Daphnia pulex: one gene and its partners. The protein of the gene in region 4 purifies or fractionates together with the protein of the main gene of each other region. This does not show direct contact. Links are inferred from orthologs where the notes say so. Each region holds a gene or a part of one and is shown on either strand. Other genes may lie near its edges. The genes, in order: 2-oxoisovalerate dehydrogenase subunit beta, mitochondrial-like; lipoamide acyltransferase component of branched-chain alpha-keto acid dehydrogenase complex, mitochondrial-like; 2-oxoisovalerate dehydrogenase subunit alpha, mitochondrial-like; protein phosphatase 1K, mitochondrial-like.

Region 1 (7,998 bases), on a different chromosome or scaffold from region 4:
AAACAACCGAGAATATCCCGCTCGCAATAGGATACATATAGACTTGCTGGTTACCATATTAAAATTTGGTTTTATTTCAATATTTCAAAGAGAAAGAGAGAGAGGAAATGGCAGCCAACTCTCTGATAATATCTCTATTACATAGGGCATTCACCCTAGTGGCTATTAGTATATATGCAATTGAAAAACATGTAGAGTAGATATGTGGGTTCTATTCTCTGTGCTCCGGGACTTTGTAAAAAAAAAAACAATTCAAGTTCACAATTACATTTTCGGTCGTTATTTTATTTGTCTTTGAATTAATTGACAATAGAACTCGTTTGCGCGAGCTATTTGCTGATAGCCTTAAATGGCAATCGCACTCACCAACTGGGTAATAATAATATGCATGTAATCCTACTGTACATGCAGAGCAAGTGAGTGCTGTGCACGTTTGAGATGTATTATTTTCTGCGACGCAGTTATTTGACGTCACGTTGCACGTACCGAGTGTGGCAGTGATGGCAGCGGCTGGCCGGCGAATCAATACCGAGAGCCCAACAACATATGCACGGCCCTTTAGAGTCTCTGCTGCTGCTGTGTGCGCTGTGACGTCTTTCCAAACGACTAAACACTTGTCGACGGGGGATGAAAACGTTTTAGCTCTTTTATTCAAAGCTATTTAATCGGATGCGCTTTAGATTTAATGCAAAGTAGAGAGGGAACACTGTGTAGCTACACGGTTAAACTGATGTTCGCGTCTAGAACGTTTGAGTTAAATGTTCTTGGAATAATCAGCCCGCATTGACGTATTCGCACGTGCAGAACGGGTCTCGAGTGATCTATATAAAACAGACGGCGGGAAATTTGAAATCTTATTTGATGTTTAAAAGAAAACACATTTTTTGGGAATAAATAAAAACATTCGCAATGTATGCATGTAGAACCCGTTGAATTTTTACATCCATTGTTGAGAGAGCAGATATAAACGGCGAGACACGTCACGCGCTCTCGAACCTGTTTCGTCAACCGAAGTGATAACAAATTATTTGATTCCGCGATTCACAGTCCAATTCAATTCATCGAGTCGATTATTAAGCAATTGGCTGAATTTTTTTTTCCAATCGAAAAATATTCAACCGCAGAATTTTTTTTTCCAGTCAGGAATACTATAAACCTGCAACCGAAATAGTAAATAGAAAATCGATTATTATGTGAATTTCCGGCCAATCTGGAAAAGTCGTTACTACATTTTTGCCAACTGAAAATGTCGACGGCGATTGTATAAGCTATATTCCCCCTAAAGCTGAAGGTCGCCAATGTGGAAATGCAGCAATCTCGGTATACTTGTACGCATTCTACAATACAAGTAATAATATGCAAAAAAAAAAACCAACGTCCTTCAAAGTCGACTGCACGCAAAGTTGTGTCTTTCTTTCTTTCCTTCAAGCTGCTGATATTATTATACAGGGTGTACGTTACATAGTGGGAGTCTAATAGCTAGCAGCTCTAGCCGGCTCTGTGCTATACGCCATGGCGTGTGGACAAGAGAGAGAGTTGAACTATTCTGACAGATTATATGAAAATGAATGAAACCAAGTCAAAAAATAAAATGAAATGACGACAGTTCCGGCATTTCGAATATTATTGTACAATAATAAGCCTTTGATTTTCAGCCAAAAAAAAAGAGAAATATATATCTATCCCCCCTTTTTTTCCTTCACGAACAAAGAGGGAAGTGAACGATGACAGTTGTGTATATAAAAACCGAAGTCGGCGATTGCACGATAGAGAAAAGAGCGAAAGTGACTCTCTCTCTTTCTCGGATCTATTTTTCCCCCTTTCAAAATAGTCATAGTACTATAACAATATCCTTTGGAAACTGTGTTGACTTCCTTGTAAAAAAAAAAGCCAAAAATTACAGTTAAAATTGCCCCTATTGTCTTAAATTTATCTGTTAAAAAGCGAATTATTTATTCGGGACAAGATTCGGGAATTTGTTGTTCTGCGCCAATTCTATACGGAAGGACAGTAGAGAACAATGGTGGCTCATTGTGTGTGAGCAATGATCGTGAGTTTTCTAATCATTCGGATGGGGGCTCAACCGAGCCGATCGTAAACATTGGAAACATCTAGAAAACCGATAAAAAAAATTTGAATTGTTTGCAGTCAACTCGTGTAAACCGAATCTCTTGCGTCAATTTGCTTAGTGGACGCCTCACGGATCTCTCCCTAATCCAGATCGATCCCCAAACAACGTAATCAGCGTTTTGTGTAGTCGACATATAGAATATATTTGTATGTATACTGTATATTATATATATACTATATCATTGCTGGTACATACATGTTGCCTACCGAGATAAGGAGAGCTGCGCTAAGGCCGACTGCTGGTAAATAGTGTGCAACGGTAATCGCACCCTTGAGACATACATATGCACGCCTGGACACGTACACATTCGACCTCAGTGAAGGGAACAAATGAGCATAAACAAAATTTCCTTTTTTTTTTTTTTTTTTAGATTAGTTATGTAATGTACAATCATATCTCTCTGGCGAAAGCGATTTTAATTAAATTTTAATTCTTTATTTTTTTTTTTTTCGTTTTAAACATGACTTTTTTTTTAATTGCTCTCTTAATAGTTTACTAGTTTCTTGACAGCTTCGAAGCAACGCCATTTGTCGGGCATGTAGAACGGCTCAAACATGTGCGGGAAAGGTGTGTCGAATCCCGTGACACGCTCAATGGGCGCCTCTAAATTCAGGAAACACTCGTGCTGTTTTCGGGGTAGAAAGAAAGTGTTGAATTAATCAAAGAGAAGCATTGATTGAGATCGTTCACCTTATCATCACAGCCTTTTTATTTTTTAAAAGTTACCTGAATGCTGGCCGCTATTTCAGCTCCAAATCCAGACGTCAATGGCGCTTCATGGGCTATCAACAATCGCCCCGTTTTCTTCACCGACTAGAGAAACATAGTTAGAAAGCGATTAACGAAAAATAATAATCATAATAAAATGGCGAATAGAGTAAAAACAACCAAGATCAATATAAACAAAATGGCGAAAGAGAGGCAAAAAGAAACGACAATCACATTGGATAATAAGTCAACAGGTTTCACTTCCGCGTCTCGCCTCACCGACCCTCCCACAATTCGAATATTTTTGTCCAAACCTGGTCGTTGTGCCCACAATTAGAAATCGGCAGCTCTACTGTTACAACCACCGCAACAACAACAACAACAACAAAAGGGCTGGGTGATAAACGAAAACAGAAATACAATTCCAGCCATTCAGCGCAAATGTCAAGAGAGAAGTTTCACTTAAACCATGTGACTCTCGTTTCGGATTGCTTCAAAATTTCTCATTTTTTATGGTATCTCCCTTTTTTTTAAAAACAATTTTTATTTTTTCCCACAGCAACGGAGAGAAAGGGCATAATGTTCGGGTTACCAACCTGGGCGATGGTCTCCTTGTCCCACGGGAGAATGGTAACCAGATCGATCAGTTCGCACGAAACGTTGAGCTGATCCTTGGCTAGTTGGCAGACTTCGCGCAGAACATGAACCTGGGTGCCCCAGCCGACCAGCGTGATGTCATCTCCTAATGAAATCAGATTAATAAAACCCATATGTTGGCGACGTTTCTCTTTTTATCGTCGGGCGAATAAAATCCCGACATCAAAAATATGTTTATACGTCTCAAAAAAGATAAGACCAACACAACACATGATGATTTGATTATGGACACAAACCTTCGACTAGGATGTCGGCTTTCGACAACGGCATAGTGTACTCTTTGACTGGAACCTGTTCGACGGCGCTACGGTACAGGATCTTGGGTTCGAAGAACAAGCACGGGTTTTTGTCACGAATGCACGACAGGAGCAAGCCCTTGGCCTTGATGGGCCCTCGGGGAACCACAACCTTTTAAAGACAACGTACAGAACCGCATTAAAAACAACAAAAAAAAAACAGTGTCACCTATCATCCATGACAAGAAATTCAGGTTTCACCTTGAGTCCGGGGCAATGAGCAAAGAAAGCTTCAGGGCTTTGGGAGTGGTACACCGCTCCATGCCCTACTGCAGAGCAGGGAGCACGGATGGTCAGAGATCCACAATCATAAATGCCCCCACTCCTGTACCGGTATTTGGCAGCTTCATTGCATATCTGGCAAAAATAATGATTTCGAACAAGACCTGTTTAATGTTTCGAGATAATGAATATAGCTTCAGGCTCTTGAATGATACCTGATCAAATGCTGGAAGGATGTAATCTGCAAACTGAATCTCTGCAATGGCAGTGGCTCCAGCAGTGGCAGCTCCGATACCAAATCCAGCAATTCCTTGCTCACACAGTGGGGTGTTGAAAACTCTGGACTTGCCGTGCTTCTCCTGGAGGCCAACTGTGCAGCGAAACACTCCACCAAATGCAACATCCTCACCAAAGATAACTGCAAGCAAATCAAAATTCTTAAAAAGTGCAAATCAAACCATTTGAATTAATTGTCATGTTTACTTACCAGCAGTTGGATCTTGGGTTAGAGCTATATCAAGTGAATTATTGATGGCCTGAAACAAATTCATCCGCTGAGTTTCACCTGCGTGCGAATCAAATTCATTTTAACGATGCCATGCATTCAATATACATCAAAATTAACCGATTGGCGAACCTTCGGAAGCAGAAACAGTATCTGGAACGAAAGTGAAATGAGACAACCGCTGAGATATTCTTAACGGGCATTTATTGTTGAGAATGAGATTCCGTTTAATGAAAGTACGGAGAGCCATGTTTACACTTAGCAATTTTACGTCGATATCGTCTGATTCCAACTTCCGATTATTCGTTTTTTCATCACTAGAGCTGCCATCTATCGTTGCGAACGGTCATCTCTTGAACCAAACGCAATGCCGTTCCTTGTTGTCTACTCTAATCGATTAGAGCAGCACTTCTTCCTGTTCCGCGGGTCACGAAATAAAAAGTTATCGCCCCCATGTGACCCGGATGGCGTATCAAGTTGGCGAGCGATCATTTACAATTTTTTTTTCTTTTTATCCAGAATTTAGTTCAACATTTAACCGCAATTTTCTCCCAACAAAGAAACCTTACAACTTTTCGTGGGCTAGTATACAAATAGACCCAACACAATTGAACTCGGCCATCAAAATGTAATGAGAATCCATGTTTGCTGTGACGAAATCGATTGGCAATTCAACCTTGAAGGGCATTCGTTGACTGGACGCTCCCAATGTGATAGGATATCAATATGGCATCCCACGAGAGCCCAACATCAACAATCATCCGTCAGGATAATCGCGTACGACTGTAAGTCTAAGCTCACTCGTACATAGTCAAGTCAGTAGTGTGGACCGCAAGTGTAAATAACGGAGAACAACCATTTGATCAGCATCAATTTGTATTTTTTTTATTTTTTTAAGTTTATTACCAGAATGGCGCCTTTATTTGTCGCCTGACCCGTCACTTGAACCGGGCCTATAACCAAGCTATAGACGATCGATAAAATTCGCCGTTCTCATTCCTATTCAAAGTGCACCAGTCCCTGAAAACGATAGTGCGAACATTGACATTTTTTGTCATCAGACATATGGAGTCGAAAATGACGCCGGCCAGCCCAGTCAGCGATCACGATCTACTGACACATCACAATAAGCATGCGCAGAAAAATGGGAACGAGATAGTCGTTTTCCACATTTCGGTGCCGGAAGAAGCCGAGTCGAAAAACACCGGATCGCAGGATCATCGGCAAATGCTGTCCACCAAAGTGTACCCACGGAGATGGCTGATGCTCTTGATTTTCGTCACGGTCTCAATGCTCAACGCCTTCCAATGGATCCAGTTTTCTATCATAACCAGTTTGCTGATCAAGTACAACCTATATCATTATCATACGTATTAAAAGTAGCTACGTACCGAGTTCATATCTTTTTTTGTTTGATGTATCTAGATATTACGGCGTCGATAGTCAAACTGTCAACTGGACGTCATTGGTTTACATGGTGGTTTATGTTCCATTGATATTTCCAGGTGCCTGGGTCATGGATAAAATGGTCAGTCTAGACATGGGAAAACAGGAATTTCAGAGTGCAAATGCTGATAACAGCAGGCCATTGAAAATAATAAATAAATAACTCCCGGGTCTAAATTTATCTCTCAATAGGGTTTACGAGTGACGCTGTTGATTGGAAGTTTGGGGACGGCGGCTGGCGCGTGGGTTAAAGTATTATCCGTCGCTCCCGATCGCTTTTACGTCGCCCTCATCGGTCAAACGATCGCAGCCGTTTCGCAGGTCTTTGTCTTGAGCGTCCCGCCAAACATAGCGGCGACATGGTTCGGTCCCGATCAAGTTTCATCGGCCTGCTCCATAGGAGTCTTTGGCAACCAGGTAAAAACATTTCAGCTAGTAATCTGATGAAGAATAAATTTGGAATAATCGGATCGAGTTGAACTCGGTCCGATTCGAATGATCACATCAGTATGCTGATGGGCTCTCTCTCTAACGGAATATTTAAATGGAAGTTATGATACAGCTATATGCAAGAAACATATCCTGGTCGTAAAAGTAAGACTCGTAAATTTATTAGATACTTTGTCTGTATGCCCATCAATATACAGTTAGGTGTGGCTCTGGGTTTTCTCCTGCCGCCCATATTGGTGAGGGACGGAACTATTGAAGAAATCGGCAGCGGACTGAGTCTCATGTTCTACATTGTGGCCGGATTATGTACGGCTGTTTCCATTCTCGTCATCGTAGGTATATCAATTCGAAACAATTCAAATTGACAAAGTTTTATAAAGCTGCTATTTACATATTATGAATGTCAATTTCCATTTGATTTGAATTGCAGTTTTTCAATCCAAACCGCCGCTGCCTCCGAGCCTGGCCCGTTGCTCTATCGACTCGTCGACGGACTCGTTGAATTATTCGCAATCGATTAAACGGATTATGTGGAACCGAGACTACGTCCTTCTCTTGGTCACTTACGGCATCAACGTAGGGGTCTTTTACGCCATGTCAACCCTCTTGAATCAAACCATTCTCCAGCATTTCCCAGTAATAAGTCGTCGACAACTTGAGCAATTGCAATTAGCGTAACGAGCCAACAAATCATAATGACGTCCCAATTATTCCCGGACGTGATATAGGGGCAGGAAGAAAGTGCCGGGCAGATTGGATTGACGATCGTCGTCTGCGGAATGGCCGGCTCCGTCCTGGGTGGAGTTATTCTCGACCGCACTCATAAATTCAAGTGAGACATGATGTGACTTTTTTAAAAATTCGTTTCCATAATGGACGTGACGATTGATCGCCAATTATAACAACTCTCGTTTTCGTGTCTATAGAGAAACGACGCTAGCCGTCTACGGAATGGCCGTCGTGGGAATGGTTGCCTACACTTTCACTTTCAATGTGGAGATCATCGCCGTCACGTTCGTCACGGCCGGAGCCGTAGGGTATGTTATATCGAATTACACTTGTATTTCTTTTGATTTGATTTATTATATTCATGTGACCTGTTTTTTTTTATTTGTCGATATTTGTGCGGTCTGAATTGGTCAGCTTTTTCATGACGGGATACCTTCCGGTGGGATTTGAATTTGCCGCCGAACTCACCTACCCCGAACCGGAAGGAACCTCATCCGGGCTGCTCAATGCGTCCGCTCAGATTTTCGGCATCGTGTTCACTCTTTTAGGTGGGTGGTTGCTGGACGATTACGGCGACCTCGTCTGCAACGGGACGTTAACGTTGGCTTTGTTCATTGGAGCCATTGTGACAATGTTCATCCGTCCGGAACTCAGACGTCAGAGGGCCGTCAATGGTTTCAAATAGCCGTTGAACCATCATCATTTTGGCTCGTTGGACGATTGTGCCATCAGTTTGCGACTGCGGGGACTTTCGCTGTTTTATTGTTGCATGTGTACATGGACCATTTTTTTTTTATTCCAAATAAAAAAGGGAATGATTACTCAACTATTCAATGATGGAGTCGAATTGTAAA
Region 2 (7,687 bases), on a different chromosome or scaffold from region 4:
TTAAAACAGTTGTGAACTTTTAAGTACAAGAATGACGCTCAAAATTAACAAAGCGGCTGTCAAGAAAACCAAGAAGCAAGTTGTCGTAGCAGATGCCCCAGGTTTCACTCATTCAGAAAGCAAACTCATCGACCAGTTAGAAGCCAAGAAAAAAGTCAAACATGATAAAGTAGTCGAAGAAGATTACGGTAAAGTTGGAAACATGTTCAAAAAGAAAAAGAAAACTGCTGATGCTGAAGAAAACATTGAAGAAGAAGAAGAGAAAGTCGTTGTTAAAAAGGAGAAAAAGTCCAAGAAAATGGAAGTGGATAATGAAGATTTCGAAGTTATCAAGCCCTCAAAGAAATCAAAGAAAACTGAAGAAACAGAGTCTTCAAGTGATGTAGTCATCCCTGGCTTCTCAGCACCAAAGGTAGCACCTAAAAGAAAACATGAAGGAGAAGAAGTCAATGGTAAGAAAGCCAAAAAGACTGTTGGAGAACAGACAAGTGTATTCAAGAAGAAGGAAAAAGAAGCACTCAAAGTTGAACGAAAGACCAAGGAGAATGAAAATCGCTATCTGCTGTCTGTTAAAGCCAAAAAGCTCTGGGAGGAACTCAGAAGGGAAGACACTACCAAAGAACGTCAACTTTCCATTAGTGCTGATCTCTATGGATTGATCAAAACTCATGCAGCAGAGGTAAGTGAAAAGTTGATGAAAAGCTGTAATTCATTACAAATTGTATAATTAAATTTTCCTTTTAGTTGGTCTTTGCCCATGATACAGCCAGAGTTATTGAATGCTTGTTTGAGAAATCATCTCAGGATATCAGAGATGCCTTATTCAATGAACTTAAAAGCCATACTGTTAATTTGGCTAAATCACAGTACGCACATTTCTACTTGATGAAAGTTCTCCGCCATGGTAACAAGGAACAGCGAAATTATGTCATCACTGCGTTAAGCGGAAAAGTTGTTTTTCTTATGAAACACAAGGTATGCATCTATTTAACACCATCTTCTTTATTTCAATATTTGGCTAATTAATTCTTTATTATTTATCAGTTCGCCTCCAAAGTGGTTGAAACGGCATACAACGATTGGGCTAACGCAAGTCAACGCGCTCTGCTGAGCCAGGAATTTTATGGACCTGAATTTAAACTTTTTAAAGATGAGTCCATTACTACGTTGAGTGCCGCTCTGGCTAAACATCCCGAGAAGAGAGAAGTATTCCTAAAGCATATGAACCAGGCCATCGAACCAATCATTGCCAAAGGTTTGTTGATTTGATACCAATATTCGATTGTATTCAACCGTCTAATCGATTTTTTAATTGGAAAAGGTGTCTTCAATCACAGTTTATTGCATCGTTTGACTAATGAGTACCTTACTCACTGCAAAGAGAATGAACGCTCTGAAATGATCCAAAGTCTTCGTCAGGCAGTCGTTCAAGTTTTGCACACTCGCGATGGAGCTCGAGTTGGAATGACGTGCCTCTGGTATGGTACCCAAAAAGATCGAAAGGTAAATTTAAATTTTATTTATTTTGTGTTCGAAATTATATCTCACCCGCCTGTCTATTGAAAATTATATAGGATATCATCAAAAGTTTCAAAGGTCACGTAACCAAGATCTGCTTAGAGGAGCACGGCCACATGGTGCTGATGGCGCTTTTCGATTCCGTGGATGACACCAAACTCGTTGCCAAAGCTATTGTCACAGAAATTGCTACCAACTGGAGAGAGATTGCTGTTCACGAGCACGGCCGAAAGGTTGTCATGTACTTGCTTGCTGGCCGCGATCCCAAGTTCACCCATCCACAGATTATTGACATATTGAAGCAAGGAGACGGTAATCCCAACAGCAAGAAAGATATGGAAACTCGTCACAAGGAACTTCTCCAGTATGCCTCCCCTTCCTGGTTGGAAGCTGTCTCACACGAACCTGAAATGTGGTTGAAAGATAGCAAAAACTGTCTTGTTCTTGGCTCCATTCTCAAATTTTGCGTCGGGGAAGAATTGCAAGCTGCTTTTAAAGCAGTGGCTTCAGTTATTGGTAACCCACTCGACCAAGATCTGAGAAACGCGTTTAGCTCTAGTGGCGAAAAAGTTCAATATTGGGTTGAACAGTCGGCTGTTCATATGACGGTTAAAAAGCTAATTCAGTTTGACAAGCTACGAACGCAACCTCCCTATTTTAGCCAGGCAATCATCGATGAAGTAGACTCTGATGAGATTAAAGGTTGGCTAAGCTGCAATCGCGGTTCTTTCTTGCTCGTTGGAATGGTTGAAACCGAAATTGACAGTGTCATACAAGCAGTTTTAGAAAAACTTAAAAATTTGAGGAAATTTCTACAAAAACAAACCAACAAAGGCTCTGACATCCTTGATTCCAAATTGGCGAAGTTGGAACCAATCTAGACTTCACTGTTGAACTGTAATCGAAAAAAAATCATTGGAATAAAAAATAATTTCTGGAACATTTTGTATTTTTTTTTTAATTTAAAACAAATAAGAATTTTGTGTTGCCATATTTGCAAATTTATTTATTTTAAATTATTATTTTATAAATAATTTCAATAAATATAAGTGTGTGCTCAGCGCCATCTTCTCTCCGTCGGACGTGATAAGTGTAGAATTTTTCCTCTGCGAGTAAACATGGCTTCTGCTTCACGACGAATTGTTTGTAGTTTTCGACAACATAAGTTGTTCTACCTGGTAATTAGATTTTTAATTTGTCAACTAGATTCGATAGAATAATTTAAAAATTTATCCCGTTTTAAATAACACCTAGAAATCACGATTGCAATACAATGCCGTTCCATTGCTTATTTCTCGTTTCGGACCCTGCGGTCACGTCGAACAATTTCATCCAATAACTACTAGATTTTTTCATTCTTCGAAACCTTTTTATGGAGAGAAAGTACCCTTCAAACTTTCAGATATTGGAGAGGGAATCACGGAAGTTACGGTTAAAGAATGGTAATAGTCTTTGTTTAACATTTATTGTTCACTGTATTTATATGAGATTGAAATCAATTCTAAAGGTATGTCAAGGAAGGTGATAAAGTGGCTCAGTTTGACCCCATCTGTGAAGTTCAGAGTGACAAAGCATCAGTTACCATTACCAGTCGCTATGATGGAATCATTAGCAAGTTGCATTATGCTACAGACGATATGGCCAAAGTGGGTACACCATTGGTAGATATAGAAGTCAGTGGTTCAGTCACAGGTACAAAAAACAGTGATTCTTGTTTCACTTGATTTTGTGTTGCTTATAGTTTTTTTTTTTAGAAGAGCCTGTTGAAGAGTTGCAAGAAAAAGATGCCATACCCCTCGGTGAAAGAGAAGACGAGAGTTTGGATACTCTAGAACTTCCAGCAGAAAAGGTATTGACAACACCATCTGTTAGAAAAATGGCCAGTGATCATAAGGTATGTTTTAGCGACTGAACTTTAATAGAAATTCTGTCAGTAAAACTTGGTTTTAATATTATAGATAAATCTACGAGATGTACAAGGAAGTGGGAGAGACGGACGTATCTTGAAGGAAGATATGCTTCGGCACATTGAAACTCTTCGTAGCTCTAAGAGCGCCCCGAAAGCTAAACAACAGGCGCCCCAGGAACAACCTAAACCTGTTGCAGCTACCTCCCAACAGCCGTCGCCTTCAACAAAAAGCCCACAGCAAGTGAGACCAGCCTGTCCGGTTGGAGTGGACCGCACTGAGTCGATTAAAGGATTTAAGAAGGCTATGGCAAAGTCCATGACTAATGCACTGGTATGATCAAGAGATTTCACGTTCATATTTTCGGTTCATAATTTTCAAGATATTTATTTTTTAAAGCGAATTCCTCATTTTGGTTATTGTGATGAAATTGACATGACATCAATGGCTACGCTGAGACATTCTCTGAAAGAGAATCCAATGGTTAAAGAGCGAGGCATTAAGTTGTCTTTCATGCCATTCTTCATTAAAGCTGCATCCATGGCTCTGCAACAGTTCCCAGTTCTTAATGCTTCGGTTGACGAAGCTTGCGAAAATATTACTTACAAGTATGTAACCAAAAAAAAAAAAAAAAGTTTCTTTCTCACGTAAATAATTATTGAACTTCTTTTATTTAGAGCCTCTCATAATATTGGATTTGCCATGGATACGAGTCTCGGTTTAATTGTGCCGAATGTAAAAAATGTCCAATCATTGTCTGTGATGGATGTTGCTATCGAACTAGCCAGGCTGCAGGAGCTAGGCAATAAAGGAGTTTTGGGCACTGCAGATTTAACCGGTGGAACTTTCACCTTATCCAACATTGGATCGGTTGGATATAAATCTCTTAATATATTTTATTGATTACTTTTTATAAATTCCTCGTTTAAAACGTTTTCCCTTTTAATTTCAGATAGGAGGAACTTATGCCAAACCCGTCATTATGCCGCCGGAGGTTGCTATTGGAGCAATAGGACGTGTCCAGGTAGTTTTTAAATTTCGGCAACCTTTAATTATTCAGATGATTCAGTAGTATTGAATTGTTTAGGTACTTCCTCGTTTCAACAACAAAGGTGAGGTGGTGAGAGCATCCATCATGCAAGTTAGTTGGTCTGCTGACCATCGAGTGATTGATGGCGCCTCAATGGCGCGATTTTCCAATTTGTGGAAGGCTTATCTAGAAAATCCCAGCATTATGATCTTAGACTTGAAATGAATATTCAAATACTAATAATGAAGTACTCTACAATCCGTGTCCTCCTGGCGGAAGGGTACGTTTCTAAATTTAATAAAAGAGGATCTATATTAGTGTATAATGGTCGCGAAGTGAAATCTCAACAGCATGGGACTCAGTCATATGGTCAGTATGATCATCAGTGTATGAAAAAAAAAGAAACTTGATATAATATACTGCCTATCTGTTATTTCACTAAGATAACAGATTAGTCCTACACGTGAAATTTTCTTTTAAATGTTTTTCTTTTACTTAAGTTTAATATTTTAAATTAAACAAACAATATGACTGTGTTTGTGAATTTGTAGTTTTATGTACTATTTATCCAGTGTGAACAACATTTTCTTGTACTAGTAATGCCATGTTTAATTTTTAATATTATTTACTTTATGTGATGCAACTTTAACAGGAGATAGTGGAGACGGACTTGGTCAGTGGCCCACTTGTCTGCCCGCTAGGTTAAGAAAACCAACGTATCTGTCATCTGTCATGAATTACCTGTTCGTAAGTTTTCGTAATGTTTTGGGAATTTCCCTCAGAAATAGTAAATCACCCAATTACTTACGATTCGGTTCGGTGTGCGCGGTTGCGTCGGTTTAAAATTGAGCAAATAGAGAAGCTTGTTGTGCGCAAAACAGAAACATTTGTAATGACTTTCTCAATCCGAATGAAATATTCAAATACTCCCTAAAATCGTTAAATAACCTAACCAAACACAAAAAACAGTAACTACACAATAACCGTCTAAGCCAACGAGCCCCCTAGCGGGATAATGGATTACATCGAATGAAGCCACAACCCCGCCAAATAAACGAAATCAGGTCTAGGCGGGCTGGGAAATGTTTTTTAGCCTTTTCTCTAAACATGTTTTCATCTTTTTTAGAAGATCTGATGTCAAATAGCGTTGCTGTGGCCCGGTCCGAAATTTTTAGGATTTTTTCAGGGGGTGACCGGTCCCGGCAACCGAACGGTTGCACCGGACCGTTGAGGGCCTTACAAAAACCCAAAATTGTGAAATTTAAATTTACACTGGAAAGGAAAGATGAAATGTAATATTTTCCAACTGTGACAACAACCCAACCTATGTAGGTTGAAATGTAGATCTCCTTGAATAGTTCATTCTGTTGCGTGTAAAGTATACCGCCTGACCGCACTGACCCACACCCCGTGCTGCCTGTGTTGGGTGTCTATAGTCGAGACAGGGGAAATCAAATCATCTGAAATGATACCGCTCTCCGTTAATCGAGTTCACAACATCACAGACTACTTTTTATACTATACCAAAATTTTTCTCACGACAGCTAAGCATGTCTTATCCAAATAAAGTAGCTACTGAAAAAAAATAATACGTGTCGATAACAAAAATAATTCTATTTGTGTGTGTGCTGTGTGTGTGTGTGTGTGTGTGTAGACACATATTTAGTTTAAGGATCCGTTTACTCCCGGCTGCTGGAATTTCGTTTTTTTTTTTCTGGTTTCATCCAGACGTGCTGGTTGTTTTGGTTTGCGTATTACATGTCGAAACGGGCGCAGACCATTAATTCCACTTGCTTAAACCGACCGTGACAAGAAAGCTGCGGCTTGTTTACAGTATATGATTTCGTGCTGGCGCGGAGATATGGTGCTGCCTTTTAACTGCTTTATATCCTTTTCGGTTGCCTCAACAGCCGTGTGATTGCGAGCCACAATCAACCGATATGTTTATTTGTTATTGTTACATAACTTTGGACGAGCGGGAGTGCGGGACTGGTTCTGGCGTCGCTTGAAACAGCCCGGAGAAAATTGTGCCGGTCGGACGACACTGACCTGGCTGTTACGATGCCTGAAAGGAAACGAGGCTTGGGATAATCTTGAAAATATTGAGGACGTCAGGCGTGAAAATAAATCTACATTGAAAAACAAAAAAGAAAGTAAATATTTAAGATAACTAATCGAGTTTCCGGTTTCTTGAAGTATATTATGTTCAGCTCGCCTTATTAAACAGCCTGCGTCATCATCTACATTATCCTTTGATTTTGGGATCTGCAGGGCACCTATAACCTTCGAAATAAACCCTGAATGACCTAATGCAGGCCTGTTGTGCTCGCTGTTGTGAGAAAATCTGTTTGGACGATATGGCTTTATAGTTTATACACACGCAAACATGTTTTTATAATGAATCCGAGTTTTCGAGATTACAAATAACTGACTAGAGAAAATATGAACTTGATAGTAGTAAATTTCACTTCTGTATAAGCAAACGCAATATAATAACCCGCGTGAATAAAATGTGAAAAATCACGATGTTCCTTAACAGCAGTAATAGTAGATAAATAATCCGTGGCAAAAGGATCAGCATACGTCAATTCTCGAATCAGGGCGTCAATGGCGTCATGCTGCCGCCCGCCGTTAGGCCAGCAAGCTTGCATGACGAGGGCGGGCGGGCGACTGGAAGCTGACCTTCAGGATGTGTAACATTGCCCGAGGATGGCGGGAATAGATCGCGCAAGTATAATGATGTACATAGGAAACTGAATCACCTCGTCGTCAAGCGCCCAACCGCAATTCCTTTTATTTGATCGATGACTCCGCCGTTGATTGCGAGATGCTCATTTGAATGGCGAATAATATGTAAAGGAGGAAACAGTATATGCTAGACATCCGCTGGACATTCCCGCCATATAAAGAGGGCCGGCCGGCTACCGACCTTTTGGCTTATTTGAAATCAGCCTTCATCTGGTCACGCGAGGCTTTTTTATTGTTCGAACAGGAGAAGAGCCTATATAATGGTTTCAATAGCGTTTCAAGCGTCTCGACGGTATCAACTCGATATGATTTCAACCGTGTCTATCGAGTGATGCATGGGAATCGCTCCTATATATATATTGCTTCCGCCCGCTATGAAAGTCGGTTATTTTATTGGGTTCACAATAAGCTATATACACGCACTCTATATAATGCACGTCTGACATCTCCAACGGAACTGTGCATTCACAGAGTATTAAATTAA
Region 3 (7,452 bases), on a different chromosome or scaffold from region 4:
ATTTGTGATTGTGGTGTGGCTGTTGATGTTTGAAGCGAACCCGACGCTAGGCCCCAAACGTCAGAAACCTTCTCACACACCCGGAAGCCATTTTAAAACCGTTACAACCGCAACCTGTTGGCAGCGGCGAGAACTACAAAATCCAAATTTTTTTTAAATAAAATAAAATAAAAATAATAATACTGTTTCGTTTTGTTCTGTTTTTTTTTTTCCCAACAAATAATAATTATTTCATTTTATTATTTTACGGTATTTTAATTATGAACGAAATCGTTTATTTCGCGTGAACTTTGTAGAGCAGTGCCTTTAAAAAAAAACAACACACAAAGTTGGAGTAATCGTAAAATAAATTGTCTGGGGCCTGGGCCGTGTGTCTTCGGCATGTTCCTAAATGATTTTATAATACCCCCTCACCGGCGATGGCATGCAAGGTTTTGTTTTTATCCCTCTCCGAAAAACTAATCTTTTGACTCTGGCAGTCGTTAGCGGCAAGATTTGAATACCAACACGTCACGAGCGCGAGAATAGCATTCCTGTCCTATGTGTGTATAGCGCGGCGGAGACGCTTTTTTGCAAGGTCATTTGCAACTTGCAAGAGTGGTTGGTACATTCTGATATTTTCGTTCAAATTTAAACGAACGACGCATCATTGGCAAAAGAGTCGCAGGCCTTCGCACCATAACAGCTCTCACTGCTGTCTATGGTTACACACGCGAGTTCCTAAAATTAGTTCCGCATAACTGGCCGTGTTGGGTCGCCGAGTTGCGGGCTGTCGCCAGGCTGCGGACGAAATTTGAACGCGAAAAAAGGAAACCCTGAAGGGTGGAGGGGGGAAAAAAAGTATAAGAAAACCAAGAAAACTTTAAATAGAACATGACATCTACAGAAGAAGAGAGTCGGCCATTTTTTCTGTTTCTACTTTATTACGACACGGTGACTGGCTACTACACAGTTATTGGTTGAAAAACTGTACGGGTGCCACCGGTACAGCATGCGGCAATTAGCGTCCAATATGTTTGTGGGCGCGTACTGGTGTAGTACGTACTGTATACATTTAAAAATAAACGCGCAACGACACGACCCCCCTTTTTCTTGGTGGAATTTTCTTTCTTTGGCGTTGGCGCAAATGGCATTCGGCACAGCAGACAGCGGTCGTTTTTTTTTTAATACCAAACAACATCTGTAATCTGCATTCATAAGTTTGGGCGCCATCCGTTTTTCAGAGAACATTCTTTCGAGTCACCGGTTTTATTTACCAGCGTTTTTCTGAATAAGAGAAAAATTAACGACTCGTAAATGTGCACAAAATGCAACGGAATCTACTTCACCCGTGTCATCATAAAATAATAATCTCCGAGTGCCATGCTGCTGCTCAACTGCAATCTCATTTCGCTGTCCTCCGCAGTACTCTGATACAGTTATCTAATCGCTTCGACTTTATTACAAGAACAACAACAACTATATACACACAGCGAAAACACATTTTACCTCATCGCCGGAGTAGTTGTCTGGCGATGACGATGGATTCAACTAATATAACGATAAGGAGATGAGGATAAAAACTTGGCGAAGAACATGGCGTTTCAATTTTTTTATTATTATCGGCCGCTGCAATAATAATAACCCACTATACTACTACTCGCCATTAATCTGTTACGATGTTTACCTGCAGTCGGGCTTTTTTATTTTATTTTATGGCGCAAACAAGATGTGTTTTACATCCCGTAATTTAGTCCTTTTGCTCGACTACCTTATTCCGTTTCAGAGTCGACATGGTCATTAAGTGTGATAAACTTCTAGTCTCGGCAGCGGAATGTATATAACTCTGCATTCAAATGATTTTTCTTTTTTTTTTTTCAAATTTCAAAAGACCCATTAACCTTTTGAGTTTGCCGGGAAATGATTCTCAGAAGAAAAAAGGTTTCAGCAATTATTTCAATCCACTATACGTAGTATATATAAGTTACTCGGCTATGAATCGCATCTTTATTTGTTTCTCAACGGGGCGAAAAGTTACGAGGGGTTTTAAGTTCGCAGGGTCGTCGCTCGTTTGTTATACACCGAAAAAATTATATCGTTTGCTTGTATCTTGAAGGTTATCCGGCGCGGTGTATAACGTTTGAAGTCATTTGGCTGATATTCTTTCCAACGAATTCGTGAAATTGAATTCAATCGATCATAACTGACATTTCACAGGGACTTTCTCGTAAAATAGTCGACCGCAAATATTGAGCGCATTTGTACTATTTTTCTTATCTGACAGGAGACTCGTGCATTTCTTTATTCTTGTCGACCTTTGAGCTAGTTGAACTCGAGCGCTGAATTTGACATTCTCGGTGTAATTCAAACGTTCTCAGTCATTAAAAGGAAATGCACGCGGCTCACACATTGTGAACATTTCTCAAAAGTGGAGCGGATTTTTGTTCAAAAAAGACGGCATATATATTACAGGGCTTTAGGCCATTCATTCGGAATTGCGTAACGCTGTCCTTCTCCTTTCTAATAATTCATACTCTGAGCTTATTGGAGTTTGAACGACACGAACGGCGTCGTGTGTCGTAACATCAATGCCATTCTCTCCTTTTTTTTCTTTCACGCCGAGTGAATGTCTTAATCGTTCACATGTGTCGACGCGCTGCGACACCCAATTTTTTTGTTTTGTTTTCCTCGGGAAAAAAATAAAATAAAAAGCCAAACAGAAAACCACTCGAATAACGGAGCTACAATACAACAAGGCTATCTGGTAGCGAGATCCCAGAAAAGGGGGGTCTCAGAGAACAAAATAAAACCAAATAAAAAATAAGAAAAAAATAAAAAATAAAAAATCATGGCGCTAGCGCGCAGTAAATTTCGTCGTCTTCTCTCGTGGTTCTCACTCGTCGGTTAACCGCGAAACTGGAGGCGGTTTCCTACACATATGGGTGTGTGTGTGTGTGACGCGCCCGACTTTAACGAGAGCCGAGTGGAGAGAAAAACCCTGGGCAACGGAGAACAAATATGTACAATGCATGTAATAAAGTTTAAGGAGAAAAAGAAAAAAACACGGACTAGATGTATCCTCTTGTTAATGCCGTTATGGGCGATTAACTCGCGGCACGAAACCGAATCGTAAAAAAGTAAAAGAGAAAGTGAGACTTATGTATATAGTAGAGCTGCGCGGCATCCTCATTAAGTCGTGATACATAACTTGCACTGATTTCGCCAGCCTCGAAAATATGTATGCACGAAAGAAAGTGATAGCGCAGGAAAGTTATTCCAGCTTTGAAAAAAAAATCATCAATTTTTATGTTTGGAGTCTGAACAATATCCTTTTGAAATAATTCTTCGACCCTACGTCATTGATCTTCGAGCTAGCTTTCAAATTCCATCAGCACGAAAGCTTTTAAAAGCATGGTTCGCCTTTCTTTGTTCATTTTTTTACATATTCGTCTCGCTTTCCATAAATCGTGAGCATCGTGCAAATATCGTGATCGAAAACTTTGGCTACAACTACAAGCTAAATTCGTCCACCTACAGATGGCGTCATTTTCTACGACTACCGACCATTTTTCTCTTCCGACGAAATTTCTTCTGCTGCTGTGTTATCGTTTGAACTAAATTTTACCGAGGAAAAATCTCTGTTGGCGAGGAAGCGTTTTAAATTCTACTTTATCGCATCAATTAAAAAGCCTGCATTATGTTACCCATACGGCTAGCTCGTTTTGGTATTCGCTCGGTAGCTGCCAACTGCAAGCGAATCAACATTGGCTCTCTTTCTCAAGTGCGTATAATATAGTTATACATTTTTGTTTGAAGGGAAAATCAATAATTGATTTCATTAATGTAGGTTGCAAGAGAATTTTCTTCCGATGAAAGACCACAGTTTCCCGGTTCGCGCTCCCAGTGGACTGAAAAGCTAGAATTCATTCGCCCTGACCTCTACGATGGGATCCCAGTCTACAGAGTTATGGATAGGAAAGGAAAAGTTATAGACCCTAGTCAGGATCCCCAAGTAATATTTTATAATCCTATTAAAAGCAACAAATTCTCTAATGACTAACATACCCAATAGTTGTCTCAAGAAATGGTCATCAAAATGTATAAATGCATGACCCAACTCAACACCATGGATAGAATCTTGTATGAATCTCAACGTCAGGGGAGAATTTCTTTCTACATGACAAACTACGGGGAAGAAGGCACACACATTGGGAGTGCAGCTGCCTTAGATCCAAAGGATCTTATTTTTGGACAGTACAGAGAAGCTGGTAAGTAGTTTACCCTTCAAAGGCTTTTTTCAACCATTCTAAAATTGTTTTCTTTCATCAGGAACATTGATGTGGAGAGGATTCACACTTGATCAGTTCATGAACCAGTGCTATGGTAATGTCGATGATGGTGGCAAAGGAAAGCAAATGCCAGTACATTATGGCTCAAAAGAACTCAATTTCGTTACGATTTCTTCGCCGTTGGGTACTCAAATGCCTCAAGGTAATTGTCGATGAAATAACTCTAGAAATTGTTTCCTAACCATTAAGCCCTATTTATTTGCAATAAAGCTGTGGGTGCTGCCTATGCATACAAGAGATCCCAGAATGGTTTGTGTGTCATGTGTTACTTTGGTGAGGGAACATCTAGCGAAGGAGATGCTCATGCCGCCCTAAACTTTTCCGCAACATTAGATTGCCCAGTCATTTTCTTTTGGTAAGTGGTGTTTCTACTTTGACGCGATATGATGAAATAACACTAACCTTTACATCTTTGCGCCAATCAGTCGTAACAATGGTTACGCCATCTCAACTCCTTCCAAAGAGCAGTACCGTGGTGATGGAATTGCCGGCCGTGGCCCCGCTTACGGCATGTTGACCATTAGGGTTGATGGTAACGACGTTTTTGCTGTTTATAATGCCACGCTGAAGGCACGGCAAGTGGCTATCAGCGAGATGCGGCCTGTCCTAATTGAAGCCATGACTTATCGGTTAGTGAAAGGGTAGATTATTTCCTAAAGTGCATGATAATTACCTAATTGGTTGAATCGTTTTCAGAATCGGCCATCACAGCACATCAGACGACAGCACTGCCTACCGTAGCGTTGATGAAGTTCGTTACTGGGATGAGCGTGACCATCCCATTTCCCGTCTGAGGAATTATATGTTATCAAAAGGATGGTGGGGAGATGCTCAGGTACTTACCGTTTTTGCTATGCCCTCACCATGGCGAGGAATGGAGATATAAAAGTTTCTTAATCTCATTGGTGACGTCTTTTCAGGAGAAAGAGTGGAAGGAGGATTGCAAGCGCCAGGTTATGACGGCCTTCGCCCGTGCAGAAAAGAAACTAAAACCCAACTGGAAAGAAATCTTTACTGACGTTTACCATGAAATGCCATCCCACATAAGGTAAACTTTTATTTTTTCTTCTGGCTGACTCAAAAGTATTAATATATTTTGTGTTATCTCTCTTCTTATAGGGAACAAATGAAACAGATGGAAGAGCATGTACAGAAATATGCAGAACATTATCCACTAAAGAACTTCACGAAAGATTAATGATTTAAGATATTCTAGATGTAAACTTGTGTCGTTGTTCAAAGATGATTGATGTTATGAAGCAGACGAGAAAATATTACCAATAATGATACACATATGCTGGAAAGGGATACAGTAAATTATAACTTTGTAGAAGAAAAATTTGTTGGGTTTTATAGGCCACGATCAGTATAATAAGGCCTCGAATGGAATGCTTTCTATTTAGAAATTATGCCCATGGATGCCAATTACGAGGAAAGAATAATCACAGAATATGTTAAGAGTTTAAAAAGTTTCTTTCTTAATACGATATTGGGCAACATGATGATGAAAATAAAGGCACCTAGGCCGACTTAGTTTCGAGACTAGACTCGCTCGAAGGGAGGGTATCGTTACTCATTGTTGGAAATGTAGAAGGGGATCAGATGCTGCTGTAGCAGCAGCTTTATTACCGCTTACAACTAAAGTAGGATCTGGCTTCGGGCGATTATGCAGCTTCGGTGTGCTGGCGAACAGATCATCTAATAAACAATTTGACAGGTGCTTTAGAACGTGCTGGTGCTTTGAGAAAAGGTTTGTATTTTAAAGAGCTTACCGTCATCATCAGAATCGGCAAGCAGGAACGAAGGCGTAGTGACCTTTTTCGGTGTCGGAATGCTAGACTGACTGCTTAAAACACTGTCATCCGTACCGGATCCCATCAAGGTGGAATTGATTTTGGCGTTAGATTTTAAACCTCCTTTCCGCAAAGGCGCCTCAGCTTTGGACACCGTGCCAGATGCGTTAGTTTTGAAAAGCTCTCCGTCGGAGCTATCAGAATCGTCAAAAAGCGATCGATTTGCAGGTTTTGTTTCGCTTTCAACCACAAGGCTAGCCTCCTTTTTATCCAGTTTCATTGGCGACGGTAACGGTGGAGTAACAACCGGACTGACAACGACTGGTGTGGTTTCCTTGGGAAGTTGAATAGTCTCTTCGGCCTGTAAGACAAATAGTAATTAAGTCACACACATAATTATTACAGCACAGGTGTAAGCGTTACCTTAGTCACCATCGAATTGTCGTCGTCGTCCTGGATTTGGGAACGTCGGAAATTACGAGTTGGTGGCTTTCGGCTCCTTGGGGCTTTCGGCCGTTGTTTACTAACACAATCGAGCAGATCACTGTTTTGTGCAACTTCCTCGTTATCTTTATCTTGCGACTCGCCTGACATGATTTTCTGTTCCGCTTTCGTCGGGCTAGGCGGATTGCTTATCACGGGACTGGGAATGCGAGGACCAAACAGCGGGACACCACCGAACGGCTTGCGAACAACAGAATTCGAAATTGGGGTGATGTCTTCATCATTCGGCGTAGTGGCCGTCGATCCTGCTGCATTCGAAAACGGTAACGAATTCGGTTGTTTGGCGAGAGACAACTTTAGCGAGGCTATCCGACCTGCTATCTTATCTACGGTTTCGGCTGAGGCTTGAGGTTTCACTTCCGTCTCCGGAGATTGTCTACTATCACGCTTGTTGCTTGAGGTCTCACTTTTCTCAGGGGCTTTTTGAGACGTTACGGGAGGTTGAGGTAGGGGTTGTTTTTGTTCCACGATACCAACAAAGAGATCTTCGCCTTTGATCGCATGTTCAATTTCCTCTGTTTTGGCTGAGATTTTCACAGGCACAGGTTGTGGTGGTGGGTGTTTTTCAGCTTTAATTCCAAACAGGTCTTCATCGTCCGATTCTTCAAATGCCTTCAAGACGGGAATCTGTTGACGGATTGATGATTGGAGAGCGGGTGGTTGGCTACCAAAGAGATTGTCAGGGCCATTGCCAGGTAAAGACATGGGTAGTTTCGAAGAAGCAGGTAATGATGTTGATGCAGAGACATGTTTATCGCTAGGCATTTTAATTGTAGCGGGATCAGCTGCTACCTTCATTGGCGACGTCGGTTTCTCCGTCACCTGAG
Region 4 (7,459 bases):
GGTTAAATGAGACAACTCTCTTGTTAAAAAAAGGAATAAAAACACGCTATACCAGGAGTAGGATTTCTACGATAAGAAGCGTGTAGATACAACTGTGCGTAGTCCAACGGGACCCGAAAATGTAATCCTTCATTTTCTACGACTTCCCCGACACGAAACTTTGTCTCGTTTTCAAAAGTGAATTAGTTATAAAAGAAAAAAAGTTCTACTATACTTGCCTTAAGGTTTATCCCAAAGCTCCGAGTCAAACTGGGGAAATACAAACGCGGGCCGGAACAATATTACTGCCCAGGTTGTCTGTCGATTGCTGGAGGGGATCCAACCGTAGTGCGTGTGTGTCGCAAGTGTCTTACACAAGACGAATGTCTAGTAGTAGCTCCTTGTTTCTGTCTTGGTTGAACGACAGGACCGACACTACCCAAAAACAACCCAAAAACAACGACGTATACCCCCTAAAAAGTCGTCGCTCCTCCTTCCCAGCCAAGTCCGTCCTCCTTTTCCGCTTTTGGGTCCAGTCCTCCCTCTCCTTGCGTTCACGGCGGTATAATACTCACGCGTGCTAGTCTTTCTTCTTATTTTTCACACAGCGCACAATGGATATGAAATCAAAGACCACCCCCAGCAATCGGATACGTGTAAGTTGAAGCTCATTCCGACGTATGGACACATTGGTCCCCGTGTTTAGACGTTGAGGATATTCTTTTTCCAAAGCTTTCGGGCCAAGGGGGGGAATCCGGTTCCTGCTTGATGGGATTTTCTGACTAGCAATAGAAATATTTTAATTGTAGGCGACCTTTTGATGACTGGGCATGGAAGCCTATACAAATCACATGCGGCCAAAAACACTAAAATGTTTCGGGTTTTTATTATTTGGCGCCGTGTAATTTCAAACCGAATTATTTCCAATCGGCTCAGTTTCGAGTCGAGCCGTTACGACTTGGACATTTAAAGCTAAAAGAAAGGAATAGTCGGCCGTTTCGGGACTCGACAGGAACTCAATGCCAACAGATCAAGGATTGTCGCCCCTACACCAACCCAAAACAAATGGGATTTACCCTATAAACGACGGCAGCGCTCGTAAAAAGTGAGACAAATCGACCCCCCAAGGTAGACTCCGCTGTTAAACGCGTTCACGGACAGTTGGATTGATTTTCAAATGTAAATTTCTGGTGTGTCGATTATTTCAAGACAATCTACAAATCAAACGGAGCCATAGAAACGGCGAGGGGAGCAGCTGGGTCGTCAGTGATCGATGGTTAATGGGTGATGCGGTTAGGCGACATGGGCGACGATTCGTTGGTTATACACATTCACAAAATGTCTAGTCCTGATGCAATCAATCAACCAATCATATACAACCCGAGGCGTGGCAACCGAAAGACCCCCCCAAAACTTTTCCATCAAAGATATTTCCTTATTTTTCATTGTGTCTCTGCATATGCTGGCCGGTCGCTATCTACATTAGAGTTTAAGTACAGCGCGGTACTCGAGCACCAACGGGAGGTGGAGCATATAAGTTGCCCGGCACACACGCACACCCACCCACCACCCGGTTGAAAGGAAATGCGCGGCCCTCTTCCGACTTTACCATTTGCTTATCCTTTGACGCTTTGTTCTGACAAACGACCCAGTCATTAGCACAATCATCTATCACGATTAGAGCAAGAGTCGTGTGACACACAGAGTTAAGACCGACGACTTCTAAGGTATAATACGGTTGAAAGCAAAGTAGATCCGCCACTGGACGCCAAATAAAACACACGCCATTCTATTAAGAGCCCATTTGGCTCCTGGGCTCCTAATGCTTATCCAAAGTGGAACAAGGGCAATAATTTACAAGTGCGTCGGCGTACATAAGGCTGTGTGTGGAGGGGGGGAGATGTATACAATACACTTTGTTATCATTCCAGGGCCTGTGTGTTCCTCCCTGGCTATTTTTAAAACAGTTACCAGTACTATATGCTCACCGATTGCACCCGCTGCTGTCGTACGTTCCCCTGGCCAGCCACACTTGAACATGTTGTTTCCATCATAAATGGTTTGGGGCAGCGGGGGGGATAAAAACAAATCAATCGCTAAATTAAATAAAATGATGAGCAAATTTTTTAAAATTATTTAGTCGAGGAAGTGAGAAAATGGGAAATGGTTAAAATACGTACATTAGTTTCATTCAGGCATGAAACATTCATGTATTCACATTTCACGACGATGGGGTTTACTGTTTCAAGTCAACAGGGTTCACAAGGGTCGTAAAGGCGTGCTGCTTCCAACGGTATTGATTGGAGGCTTATTTTCGTAATAAAAACACGAGTTTTATATTGGGCGGATTGAGTGAATTAACTGAAGCGGCTGCTGACCGTCATGCTGCGGCCAAAACTGTAGAAAATGGAAGCTGATGTCGTGTTATTGCCTAAAAGTCATTTTTGAAACGAAAAGAAACAGACGAACGAGATTAAGCAATTGGAATATTAGAGAAACAAATTTGATTCGAATTACCCCAGGAGCCCAAGGGCACAACGATTGCGGTCGCATTGTCTTCAGATGAGTAATGTAAGGCTGCATCAGTTAGGCAGTGGGCGGCATCATTTGGATCTTCAGTTCGCTGGATGACGTCACAAATTTCCTGATCCGACATCACGCAATTGATTCCGTCGGTAGTCAGCACTAAAAATGCATCTCTCCCGTGCTTTATCTTGAATAACATAAGAGGGATAAATATTATAGAGCGAAAAAGAATGTTAAATCAATAAGAATACCTTAATCTTTCTCACATCAGGGACGGCAGTCACGCCAAATGGTTTCAGCTCTAGATCTCCCAGGCTTCTCGTCATCGCTAATCTAATAAAAACGCGAATAGAAAGCTATTTTACTTGGTTCAATTCGGAAAACTTGAGTTAACTAACCTTCCGTTAACCATTCCTCGGCCAACATCATCAACCACAACCTTTCCTTGAGATTGTTCAATTCGAGTCTAAATTAAAAGAATAACGTGTAATTTTAGTTCAACATGTTAAAAATTTGAGTTCAATTTTTTACACCTTTTCTGTAAGAAGGGATGGACAATGATCGGTTGTGAGACGGCGGGCCTTTCCTCCTCGACATAGCATAGCTCGGCTATCTCCCTGTAATAACAATTTAAATTAGAATAAGGGAAGATGCAAGTTTAATTTTGCTAAACGTAATGAAGAATAAATGATGTATGCCTATACTTCTTACAACATGGCCAAGATAAAGATCCATGTTCTTGTGAAGGAGTGCTACTGTAGCCGTTGTCCCTGGAACATTACTGGTGGCTACGAATACAAAATACAGAGTTCAATAGCAGCTTAACAAATACTTGGTGAATACAAACTTTACCTTTGCCGTGAAAAGCCCACCAACGAGAAAATGAGTTATTCAACTCGATGAATGCAGCATCAATTGCATGTTCAATATCATTGACACTTAATCTGTCCAACCAAAAGGTTAAATGATTCTCCATGTGACTGTAGCAGTAGTCTGCACACTCTGATCCGCCATGCCCGTCAAAGACAGAAAAGTAGAGCAGATTCGGTCTGAGCTCTTTTGCAACAAAGCGGTCCTCGTTGTAAGGCCTCCTGCCTTGAATGGAGTGTGTTCCAACTGACGAGATGAGAATTTGAGGTATGGGTTTCCCATAGTTGATGCTAGACTCGAGTTCAAGAGGCAACTCTGTCCGGCTGTCCCACGTTCCTAAAATATCGACGTTGACCGTCTTGGAAGAACCATATTTGTGCTTGGTGGTGGTGGTGGCAGAACGAGTGCTGAATCCCTTGGAGGACTGCAAGAACAACAGACGCAATTTGTTGCAATTTGCAAGGCTTTTTGATAAAAGAAAAGTTGATCTAAAATTCATATCTCTTTGAGCGTCAAATGATGAATGGAAATACACAGAATTCTAGCAGTAGAGATTTACACGAGAATTCCTCTTTTACGTTTTAATATCCCGTTTTCGCTGGTATCCTAATTTACACTCACTTGATCTTATCTCTGGTCTGTAAATGGAAAGCAAAAATGTGAACAAACAAAATAAAGAAACGCCATCTAGAGACGGAAATGTTGACTACACGTTTGGGCGGTTTGAAAGTTTGAAATGAGATTCTTCCAGTCGCTCGACCAACAGCAATGCCAGCAAGCAACTGAAGCACCTTTCGTTGTGTATTTTTCTTACGAGAATACAAAAAAAAAGTGGTGCGTTACATGAGAAATAGTTATGAAACATACACGCAGTACAATACTGAATGAGATCAGTTAAGTAAACTTGGAGAAGATAAAACTGAAGAAAAACGGGATCTCTGGATTGGTTCTCCGACATTATGAACATGAATTTTGAAAATTATTTTTTGAAGGGTTTTGCCTGGTACTTCCACGTTGCGAAACTCAAGGCGAATCTGGGCTATTTATTGGCACCTATTTTAAAATAAATGTTTTAAACAATTCAGACGTTAAATAACGAAGTGTAGTTCAACTTACGGTATCCAGCAGCAGACAGGAATCCATCCACTACGGAATTGCGACTATCCGGAATGCCAGAAGATTCTGGCGAATGAAGTTCTTTGAGTTTCTCCATCATTTTGTCTCCAGAAAAGATGGTAAAGTTGGGAACGACATCGTAAAAGGAATCATTCGAAGCAGCATCCATTTCAAGTCCATGAGACATGTAAATCACGTCAGCAGGTTTAATTCCGCCCCTCTCCAAATTTCTCAGATTAGCAGCCTATATAAACGATTATTAACATTTAGGATTAAGATCACGAATTAAAAATTGTTTATAAATGATGCCTACATAATTCGACATGCTGCCATTTAGATCCAGAGGGCAATTAACCATGTAGCCTACTTTCGCGTTGCCGATGAAATGATACATGAAAAGAAGATCGACATGGCTCGCTGGGAAATCGATAAAGTCATCGGCTGAACTGTCGTCTGATGTCATGTCACTTTCAAGACTGGAGATCGGTTCATCAGCGGCGCATTCCTGAATAAGATGGATTTCGTATTGCAGACCGCTCAAATCGTAGAGAAATTTTCTGATGGCCCTGTTATAACAATTACATTTATTATTGGTTTATTAAAATTATGTAATGTGAGAACTTACGGGACATTTTCCAAAAAAGAATTCCGCAATTTATCAAAATAACCGCTTGGAATGTTTCTGCCATTAGGGGATCTAGTTATCAGTACAACTAGAAACAAGTTGGCGAACGAGAAAATGGGGTGGAGGCGAGGCATTTTCCAGTTACCACGAACAACCCTTGGATTCAACAACTTACGGAGGCCAAAGTCATAATCATCGTCATCATCATCGTCATCATCATCGTCATCATCCACTTTTTGTTCTCCATCAACTGGGTAGAGAGAGCGCGTTAGACTTTCTGGGAGTCTTGAGATTGGGGCAGTAGATGATCCTGTGATTTCAGTCACTTAATGTTTTAAATAGACAAATAGAAACAAAAACATTATTAGGTTTACCATACATAATATCTGTTGCTATACCAATAAAAATTTCATAAATAGCTCTAACTTAGCAGATGTTTTTCAGCCTTAAATTTTGCTAAGAAGCAGGTTATAAACATTTTGAACGCCGGGAAAGAAGTTATTTGAACTAAAATAAAGAAAATAAAATGCCCTCAGCTAAACGAGTAAAAATGGTGGTGTGGTGGGAGGCATTTTATCATCGGAAAACCCATTTCGATGGAAAGTTCTAAAACGTGTGTCGATAACTCCCAATAATGCCAGGCATTCCAAATGTGCAACATGCTCCATGTAAATGATTGCATACAAACTACTAAAATCGAAAAAATAACTTACAGGCACGGTAGACGGCTAAGGTCATTTCGTGGAGGGTCTTACAGCCGGCCTCCTCTAATGCGGCATTCATGAAATCGGTTCCGGTCCAATGACTTGGGCAAGGCTCTTTTTTCTCTTTCATTTTCTTTAACAAGAATTCTTTAGTAATTTTACTCATGTTGGACACCCAGAATTGCCAACTTGACTTGTATGAAGCAGGACTGAAATAATTTCGCGACTGCTCTATCTCGTGACGAAAAACACTTTGACCGAAATGTCCCCGGATACAGTGATACACCAATACCATGCTCTCACAACTCTGCCTGAGGCAAACACGTGGTTCATTTTCTTGACCATTGGCGCCGAAATCATGCTGGCGGGAAATCTTAACAACATCATAACTCTGGTGGGCTTGACATAATTTATTCATTTTAAGCGAATTACAAGAAGCAATAATTTCTAAATAATAAAACATACATGTGAGGATCAAGTGCCATTTATATCAGAAGCAATTTTAATAAATTTGATCGATTTTTCCCCCTCCTTCCCGCCACAAAACTTTCTGACTCCTCCCTCAAAAGGATTACTTTCAATAAATTCTGCCTTTTCTCTCTTTTAATCTTAGTATGTAAAGCAGTTTTTTATTGTAAGGTCACTTGGCGATTTTATATAAAAAGTAAAAAGATAGCAAGGTATTTTTTCATAGAGGCGGGGACCCGGAAAGTGTAGCTGTTTTTTGGCGGGATTATCTAGACTGTTCAGCGTGTTGCTATGCACAGGTTCACGATGTACAAACTTGCAGATTGACTCAATCGAATAAATAAAATAATACAGTTAGATTTTCTTCCAGCCCTTAAATTTGTCCCGAAAAAAAAAAACATGCTATTTAACTCAAATGTATTATATTTAGATTTATAATAGATAGGCCATTGCTAAAGTAAAACAAATGAATAATCGATTATCACTTGTTTTTTTTTTTTGTTTTCTTCATTGACAGAAGCAGACAGAAAAACACAGAAGCAGTTGATGGCTCATGCCAAACGGTCGTTTTATTGTTTTATTTTTTGCTCATTTTATCTACAGTCATCGGTACAGCCATGTCTGCCACGCGTCTGACATCCGGGAGCCAACAAAATCTCAACGTGTCGGTTACTTCCAGTGCTTCTACAAAAGGTATCATTGATTGTTTTGAAAAATGCCTGTCACGCCACGGAAGGTCGGCATGAAATATTTCGTCGTCTCACAACTTGTCAAATTTTGTAGACGGTGAGACGACGGCACCGCCTCATTTGTCGAGTCAAAACATTCGAAGTGTCGATCGTAATTCACCTCGGGTGCCATCGTTTCTGTTCGCCCGCCAACAAGGTACCCAGGTGAGTAGCTGATCTTGTCCCAGTGCGATGGAACATATTCCCGACTCTGACGACATGCGCCATTTGGTGTGACAGAGTCGGGAGTGTTGAGATCGTGGATTTTAATTTCCCCATCCATGGATCCGCTGATGATGGAATCACCTGGAACATCGCAGTAGTCCTTCATCTCCCCAGTAACATTCTAAACAGGTTCGTTAGTTGATTTCAATTTGTGTTAGCAGAACCAAACGCAAGGTCGATCTAAAGTAATTTGCTTCTTCTTTTGTGTTTTTATGTTG

The links.
Region 1: the proteins of protein phosphatase 1K, mitochondrial-like (region 4) and 2-oxoisovalerate dehydrogenase subunit beta, mitochondrial-like purify together in Homo sapiens (affinity purification with mass spectrometry; 3 studies listed by BioGRID and IntAct, counting the BioPlex papers as one, with this or other methods). This does not show direct contact. The link is inferred for Daphnia pulex from reciprocal best matches to the Homo sapiens genes PPM1K and BCKDHB.
Region 2: the proteins of protein phosphatase 1K, mitochondrial-like (region 4) and lipoamide acyltransferase component of branched-chain alpha-keto acid dehydrogenase complex, mitochondrial-like purify together in Homo sapiens (affinity purification with mass spectrometry; 4 studies listed by BioGRID and IntAct, counting the BioPlex papers as one, with this or other methods). This does not show direct contact. The link is inferred for Daphnia pulex from reciprocal best matches to the Homo sapiens genes PPM1K and DBT.
Region 3: the proteins of protein phosphatase 1K, mitochondrial-like (region 4) and 2-oxoisovalerate dehydrogenase subunit alpha, mitochondrial-like purify together in Homo sapiens (affinity purification with mass spectrometry; 4 studies listed by BioGRID and IntAct, counting the BioPlex papers as one, with this or other methods). This does not show direct contact. The link is inferred for Daphnia pulex from reciprocal best matches to the Homo sapiens genes PPM1K and BCKDHA.

What each region holds. Positions count from the first base shown.
Region 1 is NC_060027.1:5,062,267-5,070,264, forward strand, and holds 2-oxoisovalerate dehydrogenase subunit beta, mitochondrial-like, read right to left. Parts: upstream 4,823-7,998; 5' UTR 4,770-4,822; coding exon 4,652-4,769; intron 4,580-4,651; coding exon 4,502-4,579; intron 4,433-4,501; coding exon 4,230-4,432; intron 4,150-4,229; coding exon 3,994-4,149; intron 3,905-3,993; coding exon 3,733-3,904; intron 3,582-3,732; coding exon 3,436-3,581; intron 2,945-3,435; coding exon 2,858-2,944; intron 2,757-2,857; coding exon 2,616-2,756; 3' UTR 2,273-2,615; downstream 1-2,272. Other genes in the region: feline leukemia virus subgroup C receptor-related protein 2-like, read left to right, coding at 5,585-5,865, 5,945-6,047, 6,158-6,382, 6,613-6,751, 6,846-7,051, 7,144-7,247, 7,342-7,452, 7,559-7,829. UniProt on the Homo sapiens protein: Together with BCKDHA forms the heterotetrameric E1 subunit of the mitochondrial branched-chain alpha-ketoacid dehydrogenase (BCKD) complex.
Region 2 is NC_060026.1:4,117,558-4,125,244, reverse strand, and holds lipoamide acyltransferase component of branched-chain alpha-keto acid dehydrogenase complex, mitochondrial-like, read left to right. Parts: upstream 1-2,556; 5' UTR 2,557-2,636; coding exon 2,637-2,696; intron 2,697-2,772; coding exon 2,773-2,960; intron 2,961-3,025; coding exon 3,026-3,210; intron 3,211-3,272; coding exon 3,273-3,412; intron 3,413-3,476; coding exon 3,477-3,758; intron 3,759-3,824; coding exon 3,825-4,033; intron 4,034-4,102; coding exon 4,103-4,295; intron 4,296-4,377; coding exon 4,378-4,449; intron 4,450-4,512; coding exon 4,513-4,680; 3' UTR 4,681-4,924; downstream 4,925-7,687. Other genes in the region: pumilio homolog 3-like, read left to right, coding at 32-679, 745-975, 1,045-1,255, 1,322-1,503, 1,575-2,399. UniProt on the Homo sapiens protein: The branched-chain alpha-keto dehydrogenase complex catalyzes the overall conversion of alpha-keto acids to acyl-CoA and CO(2).
Region 3 is NC_060021.1:6,461,457-6,468,908, reverse strand, and holds 2-oxoisovalerate dehydrogenase subunit alpha, mitochondrial-like, read left to right. Parts: upstream 1-3,519; 5' UTR 3,520-3,676; coding exon 3,677-3,760; intron 3,761-3,826; coding exon 3,827-3,991; intron 3,992-4,051; coding exon 4,052-4,247; intron 4,248-4,308; coding exon 4,309-4,470; intron 4,471-4,538; coding exon 4,539-4,683; intron 4,684-4,752; exon of another isoform or gene 4,753-4,753; coding exon 4,754-4,957; exon of another isoform or gene 4,958-5,024; coding exon 5,025-5,163; exon of another isoform or gene 5,164-5,248; coding exon 5,249-5,376; exon of another isoform or gene 5,377-5,447; coding exon 5,448-5,526; 3' UTR 5,527-5,621; downstream 5,622-7,452. Other genes in the region: WASH complex subunit 2-like, read right to left, coding at 5,902-6,026, 6,101-6,482, 6,545-7,452. UniProt on the Homo sapiens protein: Together with BCKDHB forms the heterotetrameric E1 subunit of the mitochondrial branched-chain alpha-ketoacid dehydrogenase (BCKD) complex.
Region 4 is NC_060025.1:9,523,365-9,530,823, forward strand, and holds protein phosphatase 1K, mitochondrial-like, read right to left. Parts: upstream 4,040-7,459; 5' UTR 3,875-4,039; coding exon 3,358-3,874; intron 3,294-3,357; coding exon 3,217-3,293; intron 3,123-3,216; coding exon 3,039-3,122; intron 2,972-3,038; coding exon 2,904-2,971; intron 2,839-2,903; coding exon 2,757-2,838; intron 2,693-2,756; coding exon 2,497-2,692; intron 2,411-2,496; coding exon 2,337-2,410; 3' UTR 2,170-2,336; downstream 1-2,169. Other genes in the region: uncharacterized protein LOC124203045, read right to left, coding at 4,415-4,428, 4,492-4,735, 4,805-5,057, 5,117-5,441, 5,830-5,986. UniProt on the Homo sapiens protein: Serine/threonine-protein phosphatase component of macronutrients metabolism.